Linked DNA regions of Rattus norvegicus. The protein of the gene in region 5 interacts with the protein of the main gene of each other region in a biochemical or structural test. Links are inferred from orthologs where the notes say so. Each region holds a gene or a part of one and is shown on either strand. Other genes may lie near its edges. The genes, in order: Mapk1, Smurf2, Stub1, Acvrl1 and Smad1.

Region 1 (5,860 bases), on a different chromosome or scaffold from region 5:
GCAAGCGCTCTACCACTGAGCTAAATCCCCAGCCCCTGATAATTTTCTTTCTTAATGGATTTTATGACTTAGCAAAAGTTTCTCATGTCCACCTTTTATGCTGTTGACTTGTTCTTCTGTGTCATCAGGTAAGTTTACTGTTTCAGCTGATAATTTTATGTTGGTTAATGGGATTTTAATTTCATGATACTATCCATCTATCCTGGTCTTTAAAAAATACATTTTTATAGAGCCATAGTATTAGGTGTCTTCTGAAATAGATTCTGTTAAATGAACTAATGTATTTCGAAGGGCTAATAAATCTAAAATCTGTCATAGGCTAAGTATGCACTTCACCACTGAGGGATACCCCAGTTCTTCTCTTTATTATTAAAGATTTACTTTTTTTTTTTCCAGAGCTGGGGACTGAACCCAGGGCCTTGTGCTTGCTAGGCAAGCGCTCTACCACTGAGCTAAATCCCCAACCCCCAAAGATTTACTTTTTTATCTTTGAGATTGCCTAGTTAATCTTTATTGATGTCTAGAAGACCAGACTTGATATCCCTAAGTTAGACCTCAGTGTTGGCCACACAAGAGTTTGCTTCCAGGGATGGCAGAAAAGTACCCGAGAGACTGTAGTAGCCACTCACTATCTCCTTATCTCTGCTTTTCTGGGCACCACCAACTTTGACATTCCAATTTCATTCCTCAGTTTAGTGGTGTTTGTGATCGTTTTTTTTCCCCTAAATTTTGTTCATCTTTTTCAGCCATTCTAACTGTGCTGTGTTTCAGTATGCCCATCTGTACCAAGCAGGCGTTGTGGGACAAAACTTTTCCTGGGGAGACATTACACACGTCTCCTCACTACAAAAAGGAGCTCACAACAGAGCAAAGTGTGGGTGCTGCCAAAGTGGAAGAGTGTCCTTCCAAGTGCATAGTTGTCTAAACCACTACCTGGCAATTGGTAGAGCTTTGCCTCCTCCGGGTAGCTGGTCTCAAGAGTCTTTGCAGCTCACCTGAGCTCCATTTCAGAGGGACTCTCAGCTTTTATTGCTTACTCTGGTGAGAGGGGCCTAGTGAATCTGGTCAGTTTCAAGGACTTCTTAAACTCCGTTGAGTTTTTTGATTGTTTTTTTTTGTTTTGTTTTTGTTTTTGTTTGTTTGTTTTTTGCTTTTTTTGTTTTTTGGTTTTTTTTTTTTTTTTTTTGAGACTCTTGGCTATCCTGGAACTCATTCTGTAGACCAGGCTGGCCTCCCATTCTTAAGAGATCTGCCCCACTCTGCCTCACAAGTGGTACATGTGAGGCACCACACTGACTTGCTCCTTTCAGTTTTTTACCTTATTGTTTAAGGAGTTACCCCTCCGGATAGAATGTTTCAATCCTTCAGGAAAGTGTTACACAGCACCTGAATCCAAGTCCCGGAATTTCACTGTCTTTCTCCAGCGTCCCCACCCACAGCTCTTTATATTTTCCCTTGGCTTTTTATTTCTTCACAACACTTAAGTGCAAATATTGTATTTTGCCTGTCTTTTCACTCTGGAAACATGGCTGGCTCCAATGCTATAGGTATTAAGCAAATTTTCTTGAAGAAACCTCTAATTAGGGGATTCAATGTCTTGTGTTTTGGTTTCTACTTATTTATGTCTCACACTGTTAGGTGTGCGTCACCAGTAAGAAGGTAGATATACGTAGTTAGTATAAGAAAAGTTATATTTTATTATGCTGAAGGTCATCATGCAAGGTTTACACTCTAAACTCCTTACATTCCTAAGCCTGTCTTCCCAAGGCTGTTCACCTGTGTGACCTATCTTAGCTTCAGGTCAGGTCTAATCTCTAACAGAAGTCTCTGATTTGAGGGTCAGGATTCTGAGGGAGATTCTCTAGCCACAGAACAGATCAAGGTGCATCTCTCCAGATACGTAGAGCAAAGCATTGCTTTTGGTCTCTGCTTATATTTTGTCCAGTAGGCATCATGGGATTCTAGGACTATGTCATCTCCATGTCACTGGGCTCTGGGTATCAGGAGCAGCCTTAGGTACTGTAGGGTTCCTGACTAATCTGTTTTTATATGTCCAAAAGGCATCTTTTTTATTTATTATTCTCATTACAGGGTGAAAATATTTTTCTGGGTCTGGGTCATCTTTTTGGTTTCTGTCCCACTCTGACGGTCTAAGTGCATAAGAGTGCAGAATGTGGGCCACGTATTCCTAGAGGCCTGTCTGTCTCAGGGGTCCCGTGGCTGGTGTGCAGTGAGTCCTCTGGTCTCAAGTCCCTGGTCCCGCGCGAGTTCGTTCTGGACCAGGTACAGTGGTGGGACTCTGTGGGGTCATTATGCCTAAGTTCCAATCTAGCTTTCTAGAGCTACCCAGCCCTTAGCTTTCTGAACGCACGTGACGTCCCTCCCCCGCAGCCGCAGTGCTCCTGGCTTACTTCGCTGCTTCCGCCGGCCCGCGAGACTCCGCCCTCTCTGAGGGGAGAAGCCAATCATCACGCACGCCCTTGACTCCGCCCTAGCGCCCCTCGACGCGAGTCCTTCCCTCCTCCCACTCGCTGCCCGCCCGCCCGTCAGGCAGGAAGGCAGGCAGTGGTTCTACCGGCGGTTAGTTCTCTCTTCTGTGTTGTCCTCCCTCCTCGTTCCCGATCGCCGCCAGCGGCTGCTACACGGGCGGCGGCGCGGTTCCTGTGGGAAGCGCAGCACAAGTCGAGCGGTAACCGCGAAGCGTCGAGCCCAACGCGGCGGAGGCTGTGCAGCCAACATGGCGGCGGCGGCGGCGGCGGGCCCGGAGATGGTCCGCGGGCAGGTGTTCGACGTGGGGCCGCGCTACACTAATCTCTCGTACATCGGAGAAGGCGCCTACGGCATGGTTTGGTAAGTGTCTGCGCTGGTTTGCAGGCCCGGCCTCACGCGGTCATCCTGTGCCCCCTGCCTATGGCTGATCTGGACGCAGCTGCGGCCTTTCCCGCGCCTTGGCCTCGCGGTCCGCGGCGCCCCCGGACCCGTGGCTTCTCCTTGGCCCGCACTCCTGGGGCCCTGGGGCGGGGTCCCGGGGGCCCTTTCGAGGTTTAAGTGTTGCTCTGCTGCTTCCTGAGCTGACCCTTCGTTTGCTGTTGGAAGGGCATCTCAGACCGAGGCCAGGACTCGAAGACTCCCGGGCTTGGTCTCGAGCGCGTACTTTCGAGGCTTCTCCCTTGGGTCGGGAACGGAAGTGCACCATGTCCCCTAGTTCATAGCGTTATAGCCGCCGCCTTTTGACATTAGATTAAAACTAGGAATTCCATTAGATGCATGTCCGTGGTGGTGGCGGCGGCAATGGTTTTGCAAGACGGAATAATGGGCTTGTGTGCTGAGCACCAAAATATTTTTATTCTCTCTGTGTACGTGAACAGCATTCACAAAATATCTTCAGTAGAGCTAATGATGCGTTCTACCTCAGGCTTTCTAAAAAACAATGACACAGCGTTGGTTGTGGATATACTGAAATCTTGAAGTTTCAAAATGGATTTAAATATCATACCGATTGTGTTTCAGGAAGGATAAACCAGCATCACTCTTAGAATTATTAAGATGTATTTGGAGTTAGGCCTAACTCCAAATTTGACTTTAAATTACCCCGTCGTTACCCTCAAAAGTACATGTGAATGTATCCATAGGTATTAGCCCTATTTACTGTGGTCGTTTCCCTAACGTTTTAGTGTTCACTATATATACACAACCACTTACAGTACTTTCTGCTTGTGGAATGAAGTGTATTGTTTTAATTAAAGCAAGTTCATTTATCGAAGGTTTCTGAGGTAGTTAATTTTACTTGGATAGCCATCTTGAAGAAAGAGAAGACACCCTTTTTCAGATAAGGTATTGAAAGGAAGTCTTTTTCCCAAGGGTGAAGAACTAGAATCATGCTTTCTATATATAGAAAGATCCTGGTTTAAATGCTTCAGCTCCTCAGCTATGATTGCACACGCCTTTCCTTGATTTATTAATAATTTCAGAACTTCAGCATATTTTCCTGATGAACAAGTCTATTTCAGAAATGCATTCAAATTTGAATGGTCATAATTTTAGAAATGCCAAGAAAGATGTGTTTTCACCAAGTGTGTTAACTAGGTAGAATAATTAACTTTCCTTTTTAAAGGACCGGAGAATAGTTATATTCTTATGAGCAAAATGTTTCATAGTATACAATTATGAAGGTAAAAGTGAACTGGACCTGCGAGTCAAAGGGGAAATTAAATTTAGGTCACGGTTACAAGAAAGTCTTTGTAAAGGAATGGGGAAAAATTACTTTCCACATCACATCTGTCTTGCATGTATTACTGCCCTTGCACTTGCTGGTAAGTATGCCAGTAACTCTTATTATTGACACTCAAATGATTACCCACCATAGTCTCATTTATTTAAAAAAAAAAAAAGAATAAAAAAGCTTACTTTAAATAGAGACAAAAAAATTTAGGACCACCTTAATAAGATGGATTGTTTAGATCCTGTTGCTATTGACCTTTGAAGTTTCCGCTTGCTGTGCAGAATTCTTTTTAAAATTCACATTTTAGGGGTGGAGAGATGACTCAGCAGTTAAGAGCACTGGCTGCTCTGGGTTCGATTCCAATGACAGCCTAGTCTGTAATTATAGTTCCAGAAGATGAGATGTTCTCTTAAGTCATGCATTTAAGCAAGACATTCATATGCATAAAATAAATAAAACTAATTAATTTTTTAAGACAAGGTTTCTCTGTGTAATCACCCTGGCTATCCTGGAACTCAATTTGTAGATGAGGCTGGCACCTACAAATTTTAATTTTAAGAAAAATACAAATATAATTGAAATTTAAATCCAAGCATCAGCCTCTTATCTCCAGATAATGTATCTTAGTATTTATTTAATATTCTTAATTGTGTGTCATTATCATCTGATTATTGCTGAGTTTATGGCAGCTTCTCAGCTTAAGTATCCACTTGAATAGTGATCTTTAAAAGCTGGAAAGACGGGGTTGGGGATTTAGCTCAGTGGCCCTGGGTTCGGTCCCCAGCTCCGAAAAAAAGAAAAAAAAAAAAAAGCTGGAAAGACGGCATAGTGGTTGAGTACCTGCTGCTTTTGCAGGACCTAAGCTCAGATCCCTGCATCTGTGTTACGTGACACTACCACCCACCACCTACTGCACCCCTCCTTCCAAGGGCATCTACACACATGTGGTCCAACGAAGACTCACTAGGGTACACACCCTGGAAACTGATTTAAGAATAACTCTTTAAAAAAATTACTTGGGGGTTGGGGATTTAGCTCAGTGGTAGAGCGCTTGCCTAGGAAGCACAAGGCCCTGGGTTCGGTCCCCAGCTCCGAAAAAAAGACCAAAAAAAAAAAAAAAATTACTTAAGGGATTTTCAGCCGTTCTTAGCAGGATTTCCGTAAAGCAGGTCGTGGAGAATTGTGCCTATTTGTTCAAGCTCCCTTCATAATCATTATGTAGAAGACAAAAAGATAAAATGTGGGTGTGGGAGGTGTAGCAGTTAAGAGCTACAACCAGAATTCAGTTCCTAACAGCTTGTAACTTCAAGTAGTCTTGATGTCTCTGACCTCTTATGGGTTCTTCTGTGTGCACACATATGTATGTATATGAATGCACATAATTAAAAATAAAATGTTTTTAGAAGAAGACTGGGTTTTGAGTTGGGCATTTAAGAGTGGGTGTGATTTTGATAGGCAGATAATAGGAACAAGTAACAGCTTGAGCTGATGAGTCTAACCTTAGAAAAGTATTTAGGTAAAACACCGTAGAGGACTCCGTAAGAAAAGGCGGTGGGAAAGAAAGCAGTGATGTTTTTGAGAGTTGTAGGCAAATTTAATTTTGGTGGTGATACAGCAATTAGGCCATTGTTGCCATCT
Region 2 (5,768 bases), on a different chromosome or scaffold from region 5:
CCGTCCCCCTGCTTCTATGAGGGTGTTCCCCCACCCACCCTATTTTGAGCTTTTGAAGACTTCTTTGTGTGTGTGAGTGTTTTTTGCCGAATGTGTCATGTCACAAGCATGCTTGGTCCTGTGGAAATTAGAAAAGGGCATCAGATCCCCTGGAACTGGAGTGCTAGGTGGTTATGAGCTACCATGTGGGTGCTGGGAACTGGACCCAGATCATCTGCAGGAGCAACAGATGCTCTTAACCACCAAACCATCTCTCTGGCCCATACTGCATGGTTTTAAAGCACACTTAGGGAAGTCTAAACAAAGCTGTCTGAACATTATTCCTATACCCATTTCCCTGAGCTGCCTGCCACACATTCGTAGGTGTTGCTTAAAATTCTCCACCCCCTCCATCCCCTGCTAGGTTTCCCACCATTTTCTGAAATCTTAACTTCCATTTCTCAGTACAAAGCTACAAATTATGCTGGTGGGTGGTTGGGAACAAAGTGTGGGCCATAACCACCAGGGAAATATGAATGCATACATCAGCTTGCTCCGTTTATTGTCACAAGCCTGCGTTTGAAATAGTGATGTAGCAATTGTTCTATCGCCACAGTAACTTTTGTGGGAATGGTTTCCTGAGCCTTCAGATCTTACACAGCACAAAGAAGTGTTTCTTAAGGGCCCTGTTCATTGCTTTGTGAATAATGAGCACTTACAATTTCTTGATTGAATTTCTAGAGCTGTCCCTTGTATTTTAAGTCTTACCGCTAGAACTTATGATTTGGGGATCACTTTAATCCGTAGGAGTGTACTTAGACTGATGAAATGCTTTTGGGTTTCATCTGGAGAATGAAGTGTCTTAACCGATAGATTGTAAGCAACCATTTACATTGTTTTGGATTAAAATGTATTAGACTTCAACGAACAGTCTAAACGGCATTAATGTTATAACAGCCTTAAGCAAAGTCAACGTGGATACAAATCCACACTTTATCCTTAGTTTTCATTACTACTTATGTGCACATAGAACTTGTATTCTCCATTTAAACCCTGCATTACATATAAAATCTTCCATGTAACGTGGTCACCACAATTGCCATTTAGATAGCTGCATAAAAATGTCTTGCTGCTGATGTAATACAATTCATTATTGGGCTATACTCTCATCCCAGCCTTGTAAAACAAAACCCCCAAACACCTGTATTATTTATTTGTCCAGAATAAGTTCCTATTACTGTAAGTTACCGCATCAGAGTTACAGTCCTGTTCATTTTGTCTTTTTTTTTTTTTCCTCCTGGGATAGCAAGATACAGTACTGCCTGAGCTTTAAACACAGTATCCACCTATCTATCTTGTTCACAGTCCTTGGCGGTATTTGTATCATCTCCCTATGCCTGTCCTGCTAGGGAAAAAAAAAAAAGAGTCCGAGCAGGTAAGTAACCGGATCTGGAGTACCAGGTGAGTCCGTGGAGGTGGCAATTACAATACTAAGAGCTAAGCACTCCTGGGAATTTGCTGGAACGTTCGATGTGGGAATAGCGTCTTGTCGAATTAATTCTTCGGACTCGGGTCTAACTTTACTTTACTCTCGCCAGCCTCTTAGGGCGCGCAGTGGGAGTATTACTCGGGCATTCTGCCCTGTAGGGACACAGGCTGTCTTTCAGTGAGCTAGCTGGTCAGCAGGCCCCTCTGGTGCCACGGAGCCGGCGCCGCCGGGCGGTGGAGTTCAGAGATGGGTCTGGGCCGGGACACACGCGCTCCCTGCGTCCCGCGCGGAGTCCGGCCTTCCTCCGGCGCCCTAGGCGCAGGAGACCTCGCCCACAACCCCGCCCCCGAGACGGCCCTGCCCACCACAAACCCCGCCCTGCAACAGGCCCCGCCCCCGTCTCCTCCCCGCCCCCAGGAGCCGACGAGTGGCGGCGGCGGCGGCGGCGGCGGCGGCGGCAGCGGCCCCAGGACCGGGTTCCCTCAGACAAGAGGGCGGGCGGAGGAGGAAGCGGCCGAGCACCCGCCCGCCTCAGCAGACTTCGCACCATCGGCTCCCAGGCCTCGCGGCACCGAGAAGGGGAGACCGAGGCGGGCCGCGAGGACAGGAGGCGGCGGGGGCGCGAGGCGGAGGCGGCGCGGCCGGCCGCGGCTGCCGCTTTGTTGTGCGGCCCGGGCCGAGGAAGCAGAAGTGGGAGGAGGGGGGAGCTCTGCGTCCCGCTCCCTCCGCGGCTCATGGCGACGGCGCTCGGCACATCCGGGACCCTCCGGCCCTGGCGGCCGCGGCGCGGGCTGTTCGGACCCCGGCCCCGGCCGCTGTGGTGACTCCTCCGCGCCTCGCCGTCGTCCCAGCCCAGCCCAGCCCGCCCGCCCGCGGGCCGCGAGCGCCGCCGCCGCCGCCGCCTCCCCCGCCGCTGGGGACATGTCTAACCCCGGAGGCCGGAGGAACGGGCCCGTCAAGCTGCGCCTGACAGGTGAGCAGGGCGGGCGGCTGCGGCGCCTGTGGGCAGGCGGAGGGCCGGGGTCGCGGTCGGTGGTGGCGTTGGACGGGAATCCGGGCGTGGGAAGGCCTAGTTCAGGGAGTCATTGGAGAACCACTTAGCTGGGGTTGGGAAATTCTTCAGAACGCCAAGTGTGTGGCCCGTGGGTCTCCCGTGGAGGGCGGATTTGAGGTCCGGACATCTAGTTTCTTGGGGTCACAGGAGCAGCCCCTGGGCTATTGCCCAGGTGGGGTCGTGAAGGGGATTACTGAATCCAGTTGCTGACTGCGCGCAGTAAACACTCCTTAAATATGGAGTTGAGTGCTTAACGGGAGAGTGCGTGTGTTCCCGGGTTGTTAACTTGGACACCTACCTATGCCCGGGTGTGAAACCTTTACTCTCTAGCTGCCAACCTCTGCGGCCAGTGCCACACACCTTAAAACGCACGTCTCTGGGAGGGACTGAGACTGTGGTTGGCTTTTCCGGCGTGTCTGCCTGATCCCACGACTCCCGGCTCATTGTACACTCTGTGTTTTGGAAGTTGTTTGATTGTAGGGTAGCGTGTTTGGGGTTGTTCCTTGTAGGCCGCAGAACTAGTGGCTCACGTCTGAACTCCAGACATGGTTTAGAATCGCTTGCTTGGAAATGTGTTTCTAAGTCTTGGACTCCTACATAAACTTTTAAGCGAACTTTTACTGGTTCTCTTCCACACTTCGCGCCCCTTTCTAAATGGAAAGGAATGCTCAGAGGGATTTGTTAAAGACTGTTTATGTTCCCAGGTGCAGCAAGTTGTTAACGTATTACAGGTATAATTTGCTTATGATGCCACTTCTGATATTCTTCCGTGGTCGCATCTCCCTCCTTTTAAGGAAAATTGCGTTTGGTTTAAAGAGTGTAAGTGAAACTATTGTCCCTCTGCTAGCTAGACGCATCGTTCACAGTAAGTAAATTGTCCGCATTTATATTCAGATGTGTGGTGAAAAAGACGTCATTTTGCAGTTAGTTGGTTCATATGTGTGTGCACCAGCGAAGGATAAGCTGTAATTATGCTTGCCCACACTAAACTTTGAAATTTATGTGGACGAATGTTGTAGTTGAATGCCTGTGTTAAATGCCAGTCCGTTGGCTGTACCTTTTAGGTAACTTGAAGTGAATTTGGTATTTGAGAATTTAGTTTGAATGTATGTTGGCTACAGCTTCAAATACTTTCCCTTTGAGGCTGAAGAGATGGCTCAGTGGTTAAGTGTATCCTGTTCTCTAAGGGGACCGGAGTTCTACTCCCAGCACCCCCCACCCAGGTCCTTGGCTCACTACCACCTGTAACTCTAGCTGCAGGGGATCTGATGCATCTGGCCTCCCACAAGCACCTGCACTTGTGTACACATACTGCCCCAATCTCCAGTAATGAAAAAATATATACATTGCACTGACCTGAAAGCGTTTCTTTCCCTAGGGAAATCACAAGGTATTATTAACACTAGGTTGGGGGGCGTGCTTTGATCTTCATCTTTACTGTTCTTTTGGGGGAGTCAGTGGAACACAATTATAAAGGATCTTTGGTGCTCTAGTTTATATATTGATATTCTTACTAGGCAGGTCTGTGCCAATTACAGAAAGAAATTGTGAGTGTAGGTGTGCAAAAGCCATCGGAAATGGGCTGTAATTTTCTTCTGGGATACATACATGGGAGAGAAAAAGAGAGGTTTGGGTTTTCTTTAGATAAAAATGAGTTCTGAGGTGGGCTGGAGAGATTGCATAATAGTTAAGAGTACTGCCTGTTCTTCCAAAGGTTTAATTCCCAGCACCCACATTCCAGGTCACAACTGTCTGTAACTCCAGTTCCAGGGGATCTGACACACTCATACCCAATGCATATAGAATTCAAATGAATTATTAAAAATGAGTTCTGAGGTTTTGTTACATTTATGTTCTCTCTCTCTCTCTCTCTCTCTCTCTCTCTCTCTGTGTGTGTGTGTGTGTGTGTGTGTGTGTGTGTGTCTGTGTCTCTGTCTGTGTGTGTCTGTCTCATGGCCATGGAGTACATGTGGTGGACAGGATAAGGTGGGATCACCCTTTTCACCTTGTGAGTCTTACCAGTCAGACTTAGGTCATCAGGCTTGAGAGAAAATACCTTAACCCTCAGTGTTCTGAGGGGTAGTGTGACTGAGCAGCTCTTATATTTATGTCATTTTTTTTCTGTATATGATAGTTTAAAAAGATTTATGAGTGGCATTTGTTAGGTGAACATGATAACCACTGCACTAAAGAAACTTCCCTTGAGTGAAGTTTGAGAGGAAAAAGATCACACTTAGTTTCTGAGCAAGAGGATACATTCGACTAAATTTATAGAGTGATTTTGTACACTTAGCTTTTTCTGAAGAATTTTAAATATCTGTCCTCTCCTCTTAATTGTAAAAACAGTTTGAACTACTCTCAATTTTTTAAAGCTATTGGGAATTTTCCTGTGAATAGTTTTCGCAAAGTCTGACAAATATTAAAACCATTGTTGTCTCTTTGATTACATATGGTGGAATCTCCTGTTTTGCAAGGAACATTAACTCACATTTTTTCATTTTTGTTCATCATTTACGAATTAAATAGTATAAATTTTAACAAATAGATCTTAAGAGCTGGATTCAATTAGCAGCTTTTTAGGACACAAACATAAAAGGGTTAGATGGAAAAGATTGTTTTGACTGACTGGATAAATGACAGGGCTGTGTTTGATGTGCGTCCAGGACTTGGTCTGGAGCTGGTGCCCAACTTCTCAGTCCATCTTGAGAAGCCAAATAAAATATTTAACCTAGGACTCTTTTTGTTTAAAAAAAAAAGTTGATTCTTTGTTAAGACTTTAAGAAATGTTTGGCATACCTTTAGATTAAGTGTTTAACAGTTCATTTAAATCTGGATTCCCTAATAGAGGAAAAAACTTAGTTTAAAAAAAAAAATCCACAGTGAACTTCTATTTGGTTTATAATACACTTGAGCTATAAGTTGTTTTAAGATGACTTTTTTATTCTAAGTTAAAGCCATTTAAAAGTTTACATTTGTGGAAATACCTTTGATTCCACGGTACTTTATGAGCTGCAGTTAATTACATCCTTAATGGAGAGTCGTCCACTGCTGAAAGGTGTTAACAGATCTTTCATAGCCACCACCCTCCACCCCCATGAGACTCTGCCCACTGTGGATATTTTCCACAGACTATTACTAAAATCCACCCATTAGTAAATTGTGATATTGTTGAAGAAGGTGAGATGAAGTTATTATCAAGTTGAGATTCCTTAAGCCATTGGTGAGTATATGGTCTGTCCTATCAAG
Region 3 (5,802 bases), on a different chromosome or scaffold from region 5:
GAAGCCCCTGTAGGGTTCAACCTCTGTGCAACATGCTCCCCTTTTCCCCCCAGCTATGCCTTCCTCAAGCCCGTCATCTTGCAAGGACTCACAGACAACTCGGTGAGTACTCGTGCGCATGTGGGCAACTGGTCCCGTTTGGCCAGTTGTTCATTTATCTTATCCTCCATCCCCAGAAGTTCAGAGCCCTGTGTTCCCGGGAAAACCTGCTGGCCTCGTTTGGGGACAATGTTGTTCGCTTGAGTACAGCCAACACCTACTCCTACCAGAAAGGTGAGCTACACACCCCTCAAGGTCTGCCTTTACATCCCAAAGGCAGGACTGATCAGTCCCGCCTGGCTCCCCCTTCTTGTAGTGGACCTGCCTTTCCAGGAATATGTGGAGCAGCTGCTGCACCCCCAGGACCCCGAATCTCTAGGCAATGGTGAGCCAGACCCAGGCAGCAGTGGGAGTGGGACACTTTGGAGCCCACTGTTGCCAGTACCCCTGCCTGTCATCTTCTCTGCTGGCAGACACCCTGTACTTTTTCGGAGATAACAACTTTACTGAGTGGGCCCCACTCTTCCAACATTACCGTCCACCTCCATTTCGTCTACTGGGAACCACCCCTGCTTATAGCTTTGGAATTGCAGGTAGGTGCTCCTTTCAAACAGATTTGGGGGAAGCCCGTATATATTTTGTTCATCAGCTATTCACAACTGACCCCACAGGAGCTGGATCTGGGGTACCCTTCCACTGGCATGGGCCTGGTTTCTCAGAGGTTATCTATGGTCGGAAGGTCAGTGCAAGGGTGGGGCATGAATTTGGTGTTTGTAGTCCATAGCACATGAGAGTGACCTTAACATTCCTGCCTCCAGCGCTGGTTCCTCTACCCTCCTGAGAAGACACCTGAGTTCCACCCTAACAAGACCACGTTGGCCTGGCTCCTGGAAATATACCCATCTCTAGCCCCATCAGCTCGGCCTCTAGAATGTACCATCCAGGCTGGTGAAGTCAGTAGCTGGTAGGTGGGGGTTGGGCTAACCCAAAAACTAGGGAATCAGACTATTTTTCCGTGCCCCTTCTCCCAGGCGCTGTACTTTCCTGATCGGTGGTGGCATGCCACACTCAATCTGGACACCAGTGTCTTCATATCCACTTTCCTTGGCTAGCCAACAAGCGACTGGCAAGCCCACTGCACCAGCACATGCCAATGTAGTGCTCACAGACTTTATTACAGGACAGTGGCAGCAGCAGCAGCAACCCACCCTCACCAGCTCTCCAGCCCAGAAGGGAGACAAGGGAGGCTCATGGCCCAGCAAGGGATATGCTGAGAAGGGGAGCAGTTCAGAACCCATCATCAGGACCGATGGGGGCAGGCCCAGGGACACAAACTATATACAGGGACTGGAGCTTCTGCCTCCAGACCCTCCTGGGCCAGGGTGCCAGGCAGGACATGGGGTATCAGTAGTCCTCTACCCAGCCATTCTCAGAGATGAAAGCATCAATGACTTCCTTCATGGCTAAGTTGGGGATGAGCTGTTCCTGGGTCAGAGGGCTCCGGGTCACAGGATCGAAATGGCCCACGCGCTGCAACGACAGAGTCAAGAGTATTCAATGGCCTGAGTGTCCCCTGATCCCAGTCCCGAGACCACAGGCCCTCCTTACCTGCAGGTGCTCCTCAATGTCCTTGCGGTCATAGGTGATGCCACTGGGTGTAATGCAGGGTTCCCGCATCAGCTCAAAGCTGATCTTGCCACACAAGTAGTCAGGGATATCTCGCTTCTGCAGCACAAGAGGGAAATGTCTGCAACTGGAAAGGAAGTCACCATACCAGAGCCTGCCCATGAGCTTCAAGGCTCCGTCCTTACCTTTCTTTTCTCATCCACCTGAGAGAAGAGCTCATTCATGTCCGCCATGTATTTATCCTGCAGAGTTGAGCGCCATGTGTGGGCAACTCCTGTCTCCTCCACACAGACACACACACTCTGTCCACCGGGGCACTCATGTCATGCATGGGCCAACAGAGCCACCATAGGCTGGGGCACTTCTCATGCCACACACAAAAACACACACACAACGACCCACATGTGGACTAGGGGCACCCTCACGTGCTTGGCCTCAATGCAGGCCTGCTGGGCCCTGATGTGGCCATCATCCTCATCACCCTCGTGGTTCCGCTGACACTCTTCCAGTTCCCTGAGGGTCAAGAAAAAGCCAGCTGGTGATGGCCCCAACAGGGAAATGACAGATCCCTTCCCATCTCAGGCCTCTTTCCTCCCGGGCTTCCCATGTACCGGCTGCTGTCCTTTAATAAACACTTGCACTGTTGACTCGGTGTTAACTGTTGGGGGCGGGACCCACCTCTCTCGCTCAGCAGCAATGAGCCTGGTGAGATAGGAGTGCAGCTCACTCTCCTGGTGGATGCGCCGTTCCTCGATACTGTTCCAGCGCTTCTTCTTAGCAATGCGAAGGGCACTAGGAATATCATCCCCAAAGTTGAGTCGCTGCTCCTTGGCCAAACTATAGGCTGGGGGAGTGGACACTTTAGGTTACACTTGTCAACAATCCTGGCCCCAAAGGTGCCCACAATCTGGCATCTTGTCAGCCCACCTCGCTGCAGATTGGCAATGGCCTCATCATAACTCTCCATCTCTAGCTGGCACTGCCCCAGGAAGAAGTGCGCCTTCACAGACTGCCCATCCAGCTCCAGGGCTCTCCGGCAGTCAGCAAGTGCCTGTTCAGGCTGCTGCATCTTCAGATAGCACAGGGCCCGGTTGGTGTAGTACACTGCCACAAGTGGGTTCCGGGTCTGGGAACCAAGATCAGGTGACAAAGAATGTGGGCTCATCTGATCCCCTCTCTAATAGCAAGCTGAAAGCCAATGATCCGGACAATTCTCCAGCATTGGGGGCCCATGGGTGGAAGAGAGGAACTGGAGATTTCCGAGTTATCAGAGCTCTGGATTCTAGCCATGCTCTCTTGCCTCCAACTGTTTTTGAGAAAAATCCCAGAACCCCTCCACCAGCTTTAGGCTTGGGAGCCTCAAGGGGCAAGAATTTCTGGTGTCATCCTTAGCTTGCCTCAATCAAGCATCCCGCCCGCCAGTCCCCAGTCAATCTGCCCTGGATTCGGGAACAGCAATCCGGGTCTAGGCTGCCAGAAATCGTCCGGGAATCACAGAACTGGGAGGCACATCGGGCCCCGCCCCCGCCCCCGCCCCCCGCACTCACGATGGCGCGGCCGTAGCAGGCCGCCGCCTCCGGGTACTTGCGGCCCACGAAGAGCCGGTTTCCCTGCTCCTTGAGCTCTTGCGCACTCGGGCTCTTATCAGGGCTGCCGCCGCCACCAGTGCCCAGCCGCGCGCCGCCCTCCTTTTCCTCCTTGCCCTTCATGGCGCCGCGCGGCACGGCTTGGGCTCCGCGCCCGGCCACCTAGATCTCGCAGCCCGCGCAGCTATCAGCTCCGCCCGGTCGGCGATCCGCCACCGGAACTTCCGGTGTGGGGCGGGGCTGGCATGGGGACACGTGAGCAAAGGCGGAGCCTCGCGGATTGAGCGGGTTCGCTTAGCCCGGAGAAGCTACCGCTGCGCTCTCTACCGGCCCCGCCCTACAGTAACTAGGACCTACCCTCAATATTCAGACCAAGGCTCCGCCCATTGGCAGTCAAGCCCCACCCTCCGGCCCACGCCACGCGAACGTGGCAGCGGTCCGTGCTGGAGAAGTGGCGCTCCGAGGGCCGGTCACTAGGCCCAGGTCCTAGCGCGCCACCGGGGCGCACGCGGGCTCATGCGGCAGCCTGGGAACGTCTAGACCGCTGGTAGGACGGCGGAATTGAGGGAAGGAGAGAGGCCCGCAGGTCAGACCACCCTCGAGAGGCTTCCTCGGGAATCGGGAGAAGCTGCCTGCGGCCATTACTGGCTGAGAAACAAGCACGTGACGCGTTGACTCGAAAGGACCTGCTGCGGTTGCTATAGAGGTAGCTGCGGGTCCGCGGCTGGACGCTCCCCTTCTGCGGTCATGGGGCGGAGCTTCTTCAAGGGCGGTGCCAGCAGGTTTCCGTGGAGAGAGCCTGCACCAAGACCCTTTGACCCCAGGTCTGTAGATGAGGCATTTTTAGCCGCTGCTGCATCAGCTGTTGGCCGCTAACATCCCCCACCCGGGACTTGGAGAAGCAAAACTCGGCTTTCTGCCGATCTGTGCGCCGCAGTCAAACTTCGCTGCGTGGTTTCTGCCACTGCCTCGAGTGAGTAGGGAGCATCTTTGCACAAGTTGGGTGGGGGCTCTAGGAACTCAAAAAAAAAATGTCCCCAGAACCTCCTTGTCACTCTTTGCAGTGGCTACAGTTCCTGGCTTGCTAACGCTGCAGCATACACTCAAGTACTACTTGCTGTTTCTAGCCCAGGTGCAAGAGCTCACTGCATTTCTGAGCAGGGGCCTGAGGGGTCACCCAGGACCCCATCATGGTTCCGATGGTTAGTAACTCGACCCCAGAACTCTTGTAGATCTCTAGTGCCTTAGAGCTGTCTGTAGACGCTTCATCTTGTGAAGAGAGCACTGCAAACTTGGACTATGGGCAGATGTATGCCCAGACCTGCTGCCTGAACTTCACCCCAACTGGTTCTCCCATAAGGACTATAGACCTGCCAAGAATTACAGGACCCAGGCCAAGTGAACCTGGCTCTGTCTCGGGCTTGCCTTTGGAAGGGAGGCTGCAAGAACCGGGATTGGAAGCTCTTGGAGCACAATAAACGACTGCTGAACTTGGACTGACCCGGAAGTCCACAGTCTCTTCCCAGGGGCCCCACCTCCTGTGGATTCCGTCCCTGGCCAGGAGTGAAGCCACCACCTCATGCAGGTGCAGAGCTTCAGGGGAGAGAGAGGAAGCACAGACCCTGGAGGGGGGGCGTCTCATACAGCCTGGGTGAGGGGGCAGACAAGCCTGCAGAGCCCCAGGACAGCTACCTGGTGCTGTGTAAAATATTTATTCATTCTCCAAAAAGGCTCAGACTGCAAGTCCTGGGAGGGGTCGGTGGGGAGGGAAGGGAGCTCCTCTAGGGCCACATTCAAGGTCCTCCACCCAGCCCTGGCCTAGCAGCACCCCTCCCCCTGGAAAGGCCTGGGAGGGGCAGCAAGGGCTGCAGTAAGACTTGGCTTCAGCTGGGGGGATCACAGGGCCCCCCTGTCCCCCCGTGGGGAAAAGCAGCCAAGAGGTCCATTCCTAGAGGGCAGACATGCAGGCCCACCTGGTGGCTGACCCACTGAAGGCCTAGCTCAAGCCATACGGCCCTAAGGAGCAGGTCAAGGTGGAGGGGGGATATCGGCACCCAGCAGGTCATAGGCAAAGACGTTCCAGAAGATGGCGAAAAGCAGGAAGGTGCCATAGGCAAGTAGCACCACCCACCAGCCGCACTGGTCCCTCAGGCGCTCCTCATAGCTTCGAAGGATGGTAAGGCCCATGCTTACACCTACCACTGCACCAGCCAGGTGTGCCATGAAGCTAGGCTGTGGGCCTGAGGCAGGCAGTGGTGGGGAGAAGCGTAGCCACACAGCCCGGCCCACTTCGGAGCTCACTGCAGAGGGAGCAACAGGTGGGAGGGGCCCTGTCTGCAGGGAGAGGGCCTCCCAGCGCCCCACCTGCCCCGCTACTCACTGCACACCAGAGCCAGCACCATCCGCAGCAGCTTGTACGGACACCGCATCCCAGCCCAGTTCTGATGGGGGTCAGGCAGACAGGCTGTGAAGCACGTCCAGTGGACCCCTTCCCACCTCCCCAGAAAGGCAGTCCCATTACCATGACAACATTGGCCAGGTGTGCCGAGCA
Region 4 (5,208 bases), on a different chromosome or scaffold from region 5:
GCCACTGACTAACTACTCGTTATCCTCAGGACTTCCTGGTCAGCGACTGTACCACAGGCAGCGGCTCAGGGCTACCCTTCTTGGTGCAGAGGACAGTAGCGCGACAGGTTGCACTGGTGGAGTGTGTGGGTAAGCACTCAGTGAGCTGGGGATAGACCTGGGGAGGTCAGGAAGCTCTTGGCTTCCAGGATCCAGCCTGGATCCAGCCTGGGCCAGAGTAAGATACTCTGCTAGGTAGGGTTGGTTCTGGGCCAAGGTCAGGTCATTTTTGCAAGGACAGGGATGAACTGATAAGCTAAGAGTAGCCCAAAGCTGGGACAAGATGTTAATAAAGGTATATTTTCAGGTTTGAGGAGAGCCATAGGGCTTAGCAGGGGAAGGCACTAGAACCAAGACTGATGGCCCAAATCCAATCCCTGCGACGTACTCGTCGAGAGGAGAGAACCATCTTCCTCAGATTGTCCTCTGACCTCCACATGTGATCCCATTTAGTGTGTATCACACACACACACACACACACGAATAAATAAATAAATAAATAAATAAATAAATAAATAAATAAATGAAAAATATTGTGATCTAGAAGGCAGCTGGGGTTTTTGGCACATGCCTTTAATACCAGCACTAGGGAGGCAGAGGCAGGCAGATCTCTGTGAGTCCAAGGCCAGCCTGGTCTACATCGCAAGTTCCAAATCAGCAAGACAAATGAGACCTTATACTTAAAAAAAAAAAAAAGTTAAAAATAAATAAAATCGGATTTTTGCAGAGGGGATCTATCTTCATAGCATCCGGAATTGGGGTGGGGGTTTTTAAGGACTATGTGTGTCTAGTGCGTGGTCCTTATTCTTCCCTTGGCCACGGATTAGGAAAGGGCCGATATGGCGAGGTGTGGCGCGGTTCGTGGCATGGCGAGAGTGTGGCGGTCAAGATTTTCTCCTCACGAGATGAGCAGTCCTGGTTCCGGGAGACAGAGATCTACAACACAGTTCTGCTTAGACACGACAACATCCTAGGCAAGCTAGGGGACATGTCTGCTCTCCCAGGCCAAGGCACCCCAACTCCCTCAACTCAGGGCTGGAATACACCGAACTGGGCATTGATGTAACTCCCAGACCAGCTTCAGCCTTCGGTCTCTGCCCCACCCCTTCTGTGCCTCAGCAGCTCTACCTTCTCACCACTCCTTCCTTCTGGGTACTTTGGTCACACCCTTCTGTTTACAGGCTTCATCGCCTCCGACATGACCTCGCGGAACTCCAGCACGCAGCTGTGGCTTATCACCCACTACCACGAGCATGGCTCCCTCTATGACTTTCTGCAGAGGCAGACGCTGGAGCCCCAGTTGGCCCTGAGGCTGGCTGTGTCCGCGGCCTGCGGCCTGGCGCACCTGCATGTAGAGATCTTTGGCACTCAAGGCAAACCAGCCATCGCCCATCGTGACCTCAAGAGCCGCAACGTGCTGGTCAAGAGCAACTTGCAGTGTTGCATTGCAGACCTGGGTGAGCAGGAGAGAGGGGGTGGGGCTTCACCTGAGGGCGGGGCTTGCATGCTTGGCTCTGCCTGTTTTTGTTCGGGAGAGAATTGGAGTGGTCACCCTGTGTGGGAGCCCTGCAGGACTGACACGCCAAACACCCGCAGGATTGGCTGTGATGCACTCGCAAAGCAGCGATTACCTGGACATTGGTAACAACCCCCGAGTGGGTACCAAGAGATACATGGCACCCGAGGTGCTGGATGAGCAGATCCGCACAGACTGTTTTGAGTCGTACAAGTGGACAGACATCTGGGCCTTCGGCTTAGTGCTATGGGAGATTGCCCGGCGGACCATCATCAATGGTGAGAGCCCACCGTATGCAGGTTGTGTGTGTGCGCGCATGCATGTGTGTATCTGTGTGTGTGTGCATATGTGTATGTGTCTATGCATGCATGCATGCATAAGTGTGTGTGTGTGTGTGTGTGTGTGTGTGTGTGTGTACACGGATGCGCGTATGTGTGTAAATATATGGAGACCTGGTTTTCTGTGGTGGCTGGTCTTTTCTGCCCTTGACCTGATGGTTTGAGGTTAGAGCTCCTAGTTTTCTTTTACTGCTATGAATCGCCTAGTTCAGCACAGATGGACTTTAAGGCTCATCTGAACCTGGGAGGGTGTGGATGTGGCCTTGAAATCTTGAGTTAGAGACAAAAAAAAAATATTCAAAGCTGGAAATATAGTGGTAGAATGCTTGCCCAGCATGTTCAATGCCATAGGTTTTGATCCTGAGCATAGGGGCGGGGCAGGGAAGCAGCTAAGCTAGCTAGCATTTGTGGAGCTTAAATATGTGTCACAATGTATACTCTAACTTGTTGAAGTCTCTTATTTTGGTAAGAGTTGGCATTTGGCCAGTCAGATTGCCTGGACTCAGTTTCAGGTTTTGTCCTGACAGGGAGTACTTAGCCCTGGTGTGCCTCCTTCCTCATTTGTGAAATTAGGAGGAAAAAAAAAGTGTTGTTGCAGACATGATCCAAATTAAGTATTTAGAACAATATCTACAAGCTGGTGTATTCTCAGTACTCATAGGCAGAAGAATTGCTACAAGTTCAAGGCCAGCCTTGAGTTTCAGATCGGCCAGGACTACACAGAGAAGAAAGGCAAACCGTGCCTAGAGCTAAATATTAGTGGTCATAATGAAAGAGCACTTACATATTATTATTCCACTTCCTAAAAGAAAAGACAGAGATGCATGATTGTGGCTGGCTATCTTAAGTCAGGCCATCTGATTCTGGGCCAGTGCTGTCTGTTATTGTGGTAGTTAAATGTTGGTCTTGGTTTCTTCATTCATGTGTAAGCTATCTGGCTTCTGTGCTGCTTGCCTACTGCAGCCTCATTATCACAGTGGATTGCCACAGGAGACCATAACTTGAAAAGACTGTAGAAGCACCTGCCTGTGCAGCCCTGTGCTGGCCTGTGCTCGCCTGTGCTCGCCTGTGCTGGCCTGTGTTGGCCTGCGCTGGCCTGTGCAGCCTTATGCAGCCCTGTGCTGGCCTGTGTTGTCCTGTGCTGACCTGTGCAGCCCTATGCAGCACTGTGCAGCCCTACATAGCCCTGTGCTAGCCTGTGCTGGCCTGTGCAGCCCTATGCAGCCCTATGCAGCCCTTTGCTGGCCTGTGCAACCCTGTGCTGGCCTGTGCTGGCCTATGCTGGCCTGTACAGCCCTGTGTAGCCTTGTGTAGCCCTGTGCAGCCCTGTGCTGGCCTGTGGCTAATGGCCTTTTAACCCTGGGGTAGATGGAGGACCACAGGTTGACTGGACAGCTAACTGCTGCAATGTTAGCGTTTGTGGGGCCTGTCTATGGCCAAGGATGCTGGGAGTCCTGAAAGTTTGCAGACAATCCCGGGCATACTACTAGAGCCCTGCCCCTTGGGACCAGAGATGTTTTCATTTCCTGAGCATCTACTGGCTAGGAGCCAGCCTTTTACAACGTCACTCCTCCTTGGTGGTCATCTGTGACAGCAGAGACCCAGTTGTCACCAGAGAGTCTCCCAGGGGTTCTGATCCCGGGGCATTTACTGCTGGAGTCAGCTCTAAGTGGCTGGAGTTGGGGAAAGGGTACCTGGATGAAACCAAAGAAGTAGGCCTAGCTACGCAGGAAAGGAGGAGCTGATGGATTTGCCTTAGGCTCCTGGGGTGGAGGGGAAGCTCTGTCAGCCTCACACAGACTCCTAGCGCATTATAAACACTGTAATCTGGTGTCAGCCCCGGCACTGATTAAAGGCTCATTAGACACGCTCAGGCCTCTGCAAATCGCTGATTAGGGCGCCGGCGGCACAGGGGCAGCCTGGAAGCCCGCCACGGGGAGAACAGCTGCTGAAGGCTTCATTGAGGTTCTGGTCTTCATGATCACAGAAGCGGCCTGGAGTTGGGAAGGAGGAAGAGACATGGGGCTGCCTCTGACCCCACAGGCACACCTTTCAGAAATGGCTCGGGATAACTAGACATGGGGTGGGGACACCGTTGGTGATGGGGTCTGCAGAGACGTGAACCTTCCCTGACAGTAAGCACATCTTATTTGGACCAGGGAGTAAATCTTTTGCTTCTCGGAGAGGTGTTTTTCTGCTCTTTGTTGCCCTTATTACGTACGAGCCTCATCCAGCCCTACCATAAATGTTGCTGAGAGAGCGGAATCGAGGAATTTGGTGTTGGATTTCCGCCTTAGGTCCCAGTTCTGTCGCTTGCTACCTGTTGATCCTTAAAGACAAAATTTCTGAACATTTGGACCTACTGTTTTTGGTTCAATGCTACAGTCCCCATAGGCCACTGTGAGGCTTGCGGGTAGAGCACTAAGGACCCCTTCTGGCCCACCGGAAGTGCTCTGGGACACACCGGAAGTGCTCCGGAACACCAGCTGTTAGGGTAATCGGGCATCACTCAGGCAGTGGAACCCAGGCGCAGAATGGAAGCTGAGCAAGATGAAAATAAGATCCAGCTTAGGAAGCCAAAAAACGGGTTTCAAGTCCTGACTGTGCCGTGACTGGCTAGGCAACACGAATCCGGTGCTTCTGACTCTAGGCTTCTCCATCTGTGACTCGGGTGGTACCACACAGAGATACCACCAGGAGGACGAATGGGAAATCTTGGAACACAGGCAGTAGTTCTGAGCTATATGCACAGTTACTATATTGTAGGACGGGATCGCTCTCAGGAGAAATATAATCAGGCAGTTAGCCCCAAGCATGGTCATCCTGTGGGTGCTCTGGGTTCCAAGTGATTGTCCCACATCCCTTGAATCCCCAGGCATTGTGGAGGACTACAGGCCACCCTTCTATGACATGGTACCCAATGACCCCAGTTTTGAGGACATGAAAAAGGTGGTGTGTGTTGACCAGCAGACCCCCACCATCCCTAACCGACTGGCAGCAGATCCGGTGAGACCTCTGCTTGGACCAGGGCTGGGCTGGGGCTGGGGCTGGGGCTGGGCTGGGCTGTTCTGGGGCTGGGGCTGGGGCTGGGGCTGGGCTAGGGCTGGGCTGTTCTGGGGCTGGGCTGGGCTGGGGCTGGCCTGGGCTGGACTGGGCTGGGCTGAGCTGGGCTGGGCCGGAGCTGGGGGCTGGGGCTGGGGCTGGGGCTGGGGCTGGGCTGGGGCTGAGCTGGGCTGGGGTTGGGGCTGGGGCTGGGGCTGGGCGGGGCTGGGGCTGGGGCTGGGCTGGCTGGGCTGGGGCTGGGTTGGCATGGGT
Region 5 (5,208 bases):
AATACTTATTGGTAAGTAATGTGATTCAATACATTTGTTTATCATTCAATAACTCAGATGTCAGCAGACTGTCAGGAAGAACATCAGTGGTGATATATAAATACATAAACAGGGTAGCCCAGACTGGACCCCAGACTGGCATCCTGTTGCTTTAACCTCCTTCCTGAGTACTGGGATCGTGGGTATATGCCACAGTGCTTTATGCGTGTGTGCGTGCGTATGAAAGTGGTGCTCATGCCACCGACCAACTTTGTGGAATCTATTCTGTCCTTCTCCCTTTACATGAGTTCCAGGGATCAAGCTCAGGTCACCCAGCTGTGTGACAAGCTCCTTTCCCCTGAAGCCATCTGGCTAGGGGGCAATGCACATTGTTAACTGTGCTTGAGTTTCTTGTGAGTGGGAAAATTTGAAGTGAAATGCAGCAACATGGTTTAGTCTGAAACTGTGTTTCAAGGCTTCCTCGGGTCAACAGGCCAGGAGCGCTGCTCTCTGGCTGGAGTCCTGTGATCCATCTGGGCTGTGCTTTCCCCTCTGGTCAGAGCTGTGGAGCTGACAGTTGGTGTTCTGGTCATTTGCCCTCACTTGCCGTGAGGCTGTTACCGGTTTTCACCGTTCTCATCTCTCTCTCTCTCTCTTTCTCTCTCTTCCTTTTTCCAGTTCTCCCACCGGTGCTGGTTCCGAGGCACAGCGAGTACAACCCTCAGCACAGCCTTCTGGCTCAGTTCCGAAACCTGGGACAAAATGAGCCCCACATGCCACTGAATGCCACGTTCCCCGACTCCTTCCAGCAGCCACACAGCCACCCGTTTCCCCAGTCCCCCAACAGCAGCTACCCCAACTCTCCTGGCAGCAGCAGCAGCACCTACCCTCACTCCCCGACCAGCTCAGACCCGGGCAGCCCTTTTCAGATGCCAGGTAGGAGGGGTTCACAGAGTGGGGATGGGGTGTTCGGGGAGGTGGGTGGGCGTGACCTGTAAGGAAGAGGTCTGAACCCTAGAGCAAGTCCCAGTGAACGGCGAGTCCTTCAGAACATCAGTTGTAGAGAGAGGAGTCTCACAGCCAGACAAGGGGATGGCCTGTTTGATTCCTGCTACATTTTCCCCTTGTTTTCAAAAGTTTTGAAACAGCTGCATCCTTCTGGGAGTGGCACAATTGTTCCAGCCTCGGCTCTCCATGAGAGAAAGGGGAAAACATCATGTTACAAACAGTGATGTTCCGAGAAGTAGCTCCAATGAGTGCTTCTGACATCGAAGAACCCTTGCTGTCAGTGCAGCCCTGGAAGAGCTGTTTTCTGAGGGGTCACAACCCCCATTTAATTAGATTCATTTAACCAGTGATGTGATCCCAAGAAGCATGTACTTTTAACAACAAGGAATTGTATCAGGAGTGCTGGAGACCATCTGCTTGTTTAACTTAGCAGAGACAAAGCCAGTTATTTTCCTGTTGTAGTCATAACGGATGCTGTGATAGTTCTCAAAATGGGTGATTAATTAGAACGTTCTAGTTTTCAAGTTGCAGGTTAGTAAACAAGCATCTCAAATATTAGTGCTAGAATCCTTGACGGTCAACAGCAGGAAGGCTACTATAAACAAAAGATCATCTTGAGATCTGGGTATTTCTGTGAGGGCGATAACTGGGCGGGCAGGTGTGTTTACGGAGCCACTAAAAGTGCTTTAGATTAAATTTTAATTCAATGTCCATGTTGAAAAGTGGTCCACACTTTATTGCTGTTTCTTCTTTTTTCTTTAATTATTCTTATTTTAATTCAACTTGTTTATTTTGCATTATGTCTGTCTGTTTGGGATGAAGGTGTAAGAGATTATTTTGATAACCAAAGTAATAACTCGATGGTTTCCTATCTACCCATTCCCTGGCAAGTCTGCTGGGCCTGCTGGATGGGCCGGTGGTGACGGTCCATTTCAGAGGACTTTTGACCACCCCAGGCGAGCCCCAGTAAAGAGAAGCAAAGACTGTTGCTAGGATTCACTCCTGTCCTTGGCCATCAGGGATTAAAGCAAAAGCTGGAGGAGCGAAGCTCGAGCATGTCCTGGGGGAGGTGGTAGAACACTGTTGGTGAGACCCTGCCGCCCTGAGCCCTGGTGGCGCTGCTGAGATTTTCACCGCCTGTTGGGGTACATTCATCCGGTTCTGTTGAGCAGCCTCCTGGCTTTGCTCCTGACTCCAGACAAAGCAGACTTTACCTTAGAGCTGCACCAAGAAGCTGGAGTGCAGGGAGGCCCACTGAGACGCACAGGAAAGGTCTCTGGAGCCCGGCTGGCTCTCAGCTTTTTGGCAGCTGAGTTAAGACTCTGCCAGGGTCAGGGGTGGTGGGAACTGCCAGGGAGCCCTGTTGCCCCTAAGTATTTACCCAAGCATTTATGGATCCCTAAGGTAAAATTTTGTTCTCAAGGCTCTGCCGTACATGCTGGGTGGGCTGACAGGCCAACGAGGAGCTGTATTTGGTTTTTAAGTCCTATATTTCCCAGTAAGAAAATAGCAGTCTTGCATTAATATATGTGGTTTCAGTAATCTTATTACTTGTTAGAAACTGTTCAGAAGGAGACCTATGTAAATTCTAAAACAGAAGACAGCTGAGCTAAACTGTTTTATCTCCTATTATTCTGTTACTGGGGGTTTTTAGGCTAGTCATTGCTTAAATGGTTATGGTGAAGGTAGGCCTAAGAGATTGCTTAAAGTCATGGGAAACCAAGACTCAGTGAATAGCAAATTCCTGCCCAGAGGTTTAATGTCAGAGACCTGGAAAGAAGTTTCTCCTTACCAAGTCTTGTCAGGCAGTTTGGTTACAGGAGTGAAACCAAATTTGAGGGCTCTCAAGAGTCTGCTGCACCCGTGTCCTTCTCAGTGGGTTTAAAGTGACGTGGTCCTAGAGAGGTACGGGGACTCCTGGAGCCCACTTAAGGGTCTGTTGTCACTGGAAACAAAGTTTGGGGATATGATCATTTTCTGAAACTATACCTTAAGTCCAGTGTCTTTAGGCTTACCCCTCACCCCTCTGCAAAGGCTTAGATGCTAAACTGTTGCCGAGATTAGCCTTGACTTCTCCATCATCCTGCCTTTGCTTCCCGACTGCAATCCTTGCAGTCAAACACCACCGTGGAAGGCCCTTTTGTTAAGGGACTGGTTCAGCACAGGGAGGCAGGGACAAGCAGATCCCTGGGGCTCACTGGCTGGTCAGCCAAGCCTGCTTATAGAGTCCAGGCCACTGAGAGTCCTTGCTTCCCCCACCCCCGCCCCACAGAAGGTGAGCGCTTGCCCGATGGCTCAGGGGGTATATACTTGCTGCCATTGTGAAGGCTTTCACTGAGTCCCTGAAACCTACATGTTGGACCTAGCTCCCCAAGTTACACTCTGACCCCCACTTGTTCCTTCTCCCCCACAGTAATTAAACCCAAAGTTATCCTCTGACCGCCTACATACAGTAGGCGTGCACCTGCATTCCCGTGAACAGTGTGCACAGAGACAACACAGAAGAGAATCTATGCCTGAAATGTATTTTTTTTCTTTAAACCGTTGTAGCCGACACACCCCCGCCTGCTTACCTGCCTCCTGAAGACCCCATGGCCCAGGATGGCTCTCAGCCTATGGACACGAACATGACGAACATGACGGCACCGACACTGCCCGCGGAGATCAATAGAGGAGGTGAAGTCAGCTGCCGCTCTCCCTGTGAGAGTTTGTTGTCTGCAGGTCCAAGTGTTGCTTTCAGTCATATAGACCTTCAAACAGTAGCTGTCTAGAAAACAGAAAAAACTGTTGTTCTAAACCTGAAGGAAAGAATTCTCTAGAATCCAGCCCTTTGCCTAAAATCTCTGCCACAGTCTCCTAAGGAGTCTCAGAATTGAATGAATTTTCAGTAGCCTATGAAACGGCCTTAAGCGTCTGTTTGCCATTTGGTACTAGGAAGTTAAGTGAGGCCAAGTCTCAGCCTTGGTGATTAGAAAACCAAGCCGTTGGCAAACTCTGAAGGCAACCGAATGTGCCATACATCCGTCAGAGCTGAACAGTCAGCTGAGATTTATTGTTTCCGTAAAAGGCGAACAGGCGTATCTCATTAGCATGCTAATCTGCTTATACTTTTTGTAAATGGCTAAGTAATATAAACAAAGAACTGTTTAAATATACATTTATCTATGGTTTAGTGTCAATAGACACATGGTTTGTATAGCTGTTTCATGTACCTGTGTGCATATGAGAGCTCTTGCACATGGGGCAGCCGAGGCCTGTTTTACATTACCTGTGTCTTTTATTTAGATGGCTGTGTATTCAGGTCTTCAGTAATTAGTAACTTGGGATCGGTGCTGCAAGAATTGTCTTTAAATGGGCCAAGAGGAATGGGCCATCCGCAGTAGTGCAGAGCGGACTTCCCACTGGTGATCTCACTGGAAATCCATACAGCTGGGTTTCCAGACGGTTCCCTTTGTGTTAGAATAGACAGGCACACACGCATGCACACACAGATGCTTACATAGAGGTGTGCATGCGCACACACACACACACACACACACACACACACACACACACACCCCTTGTCTATTTTAGAGCCTTTATCGTTGTAACAAGTAATGGTGCATTTTTCCTCTCTCTGTCCTCCTGCCTAACTTTGTTACCAGAAGAATTAATTTAAAGGATAAGAATTTACTCTTGGCTGGGGATTTAGCTCAGTGGTAAAGCGCTTACCTAGGAAGCGCAAGGCCCTGGGTTCGGTCCCCAGCTCCGGAAAAAAAAAAAAAAAACCAAAAAAAAAAAAGAATTTACTCTTTTCCCCCTCAAAGAATTTACAGCTGAACTGACGTTCACCTTCCCTCAGGGGAGGAGCTGGTCTTCACCCCGAGGCTCATTTCAGCCCAGTATACCAAGTGCACATTACCCCATGCCAAGAGGTACCATGTGCCCTGGCGAGATCTCCCATCCGCTCAGTAGCTTCTGAGGGAGCCTCCAGCAAGCATTCCACCCGGGGATGAAGCAAGTTGAAATTAGAAGCAGTATGGCTGCTTGAACGTGTCTTGTTTTGTTCTAAAGCCCATTTCAGTGAAATGAGAGGTGCCTTGGACTGGATCCGAGTTCCTGGTGCTTTTTCAGGACTTAAATATTATGCTGTCCCTGTGGTAGCACGAGGATAGTAGCATGCTGGGTTCACATGTGATCAGATGCACACACTGTAGCCAAGAACAAACCCTAATGCTCACT

What was found.
Region 1: of the proteins of Smad1 (region 5) and Mapk1, one has a biochemical effect on the other in vitro, tested with the Homo sapiens proteins (3 studies listed by BioGRID). The link is inferred for Rattus norvegicus from reciprocal best matches to the Homo sapiens genes SMAD1 and MAPK1.
Region 2: the proteins of Smad1 (region 5) and Smurf2 form a complex in vitro, tested with the Homo sapiens proteins (2 studies listed by BioGRID and IntAct, with this or other methods). The link is inferred for Rattus norvegicus from reciprocal best matches to the Homo sapiens genes SMAD1 and SMURF2.
Region 3: the proteins of Smad1 (region 5) and Stub1 form a complex in vitro, tested with the Homo sapiens proteins (3 studies listed by BioGRID, with this or other methods). The link is inferred for Rattus norvegicus from reciprocal best matches to the Homo sapiens genes SMAD1 and STUB1.
Region 4: of the proteins of Smad1 (region 5) and Acvrl1, one has a biochemical effect on the other in vitro, tested with the Homo sapiens proteins (2 studies listed by BioGRID). The link is inferred for Rattus norvegicus from reciprocal best matches to the Homo sapiens genes SMAD1 and ACVRL1.

The regions. Positions count from the first base shown.
Region 1 is NC_086029.1:97,524,489-97,530,348, reverse strand, and holds the start of Mapk1 (mitogen-activated protein kinase 1), read left to right. Parts: upstream 1-2,523; 5' UTR 2,524-2,737; coding exon 2,738-2,850; intron 2,851-5,860. UniProt on the Homo sapiens protein: Serine/threonine kinase which acts as an essential component of the MAP kinase signal transduction pathway. MAPK1/ERK2 and MAPK3/ERK1 are the 2 MAPKs which play an important role in the MAPK/ERK cascade.
Region 2 is NC_086028.1:92,358,300-92,364,067, reverse strand, and holds the start of Smurf2 (E3 ubiquitin-protein ligase SMURF2), read left to right. Parts: upstream 1-2,287; 5' UTR 2,288-2,389; coding exon 2,390-2,441; intron 2,442-5,768. UniProt on the Homo sapiens protein: E3 ubiquitin-protein ligase which accepts ubiquitin from an E2 ubiquitin-conjugating enzyme in the form of a thioester and then directly transfers the ubiquitin to targeted substrates.
Region 3 is NC_086028.1:15,354,083-15,359,884, forward strand, and holds Stub1 (E3 ubiquitin-protein ligase CHIP), read right to left. Parts: upstream 3,478-5,802; 5' UTR 3,375-3,477; coding exon 3,213-3,374; intron 2,792-3,212; coding exon 2,593-2,791; intron 2,510-2,592; coding exon 2,344-2,509; intron 2,311-2,343; exon of another isoform or gene 2,179-2,310; coding exon 2,091-2,178; exon of another isoform or gene 1,908-2,090; coding exon 1,851-1,907; exon of another isoform or gene 1,765-1,850; coding exon 1,648-1,764; exon of another isoform or gene 1,570-1,647; coding exon 1,444-1,569; 3' UTR 1,196-1,443; downstream 1-1,195. Other genes in the region: Jmjd8 (jmjC domain-containing protein 8), read left to right, coding at 54-102, 180-273, 356-424, 513-632, 711-778, 858-992, 1,071-1,151; Rhbdl1 (rhomboid-related protein 1), read right to left, coding at 5,280-5,551, 5,632-5,692, 5,773-5,802. UniProt on the Homo sapiens protein: E3 ubiquitin-protein ligase which targets misfolded chaperone substrates towards proteasomal degradation.
Region 4 is NC_086025.1:134,126,139-134,131,346, forward strand, and holds part of Acvrl1 (serine/threonine-protein kinase receptor R3 precursor), read left to right. Parts: intron 1-29; coding exon 30-129; intron 130-866; coding exon 867-1,013; intron 1,014-1,220; coding exon 1,221-1,496; intron 1,497-1,635; coding exon 1,636-1,833; intron 1,834-4,768; coding exon 4,769-4,899; intron 4,900-5,208. UniProt on the Homo sapiens protein: Type I receptor for TGF-beta family ligands BMP9/GDF2 and BMP10 and important regulator of normal blood vessel development. On ligand binding, forms a receptor complex consisting of two type II and two type I transmembrane serine/threonine kinases.
Region 5 is NC_086037.1:45,458,194-45,463,401, forward strand, and holds part of Smad1 (mothers against decapentaplegic homolog 1), read left to right. Parts: intron 1-657; coding exon 658-915; intron 916-3,537; coding exon 3,538-3,663; coding exon of another isoform or gene 3,664-3,708; intron 3,709-5,208. UniProt on the Homo sapiens protein: Transcriptional modulator that plays a role in various cellular processes, including embryonic development, cell differentiation, and tissue homeostasis.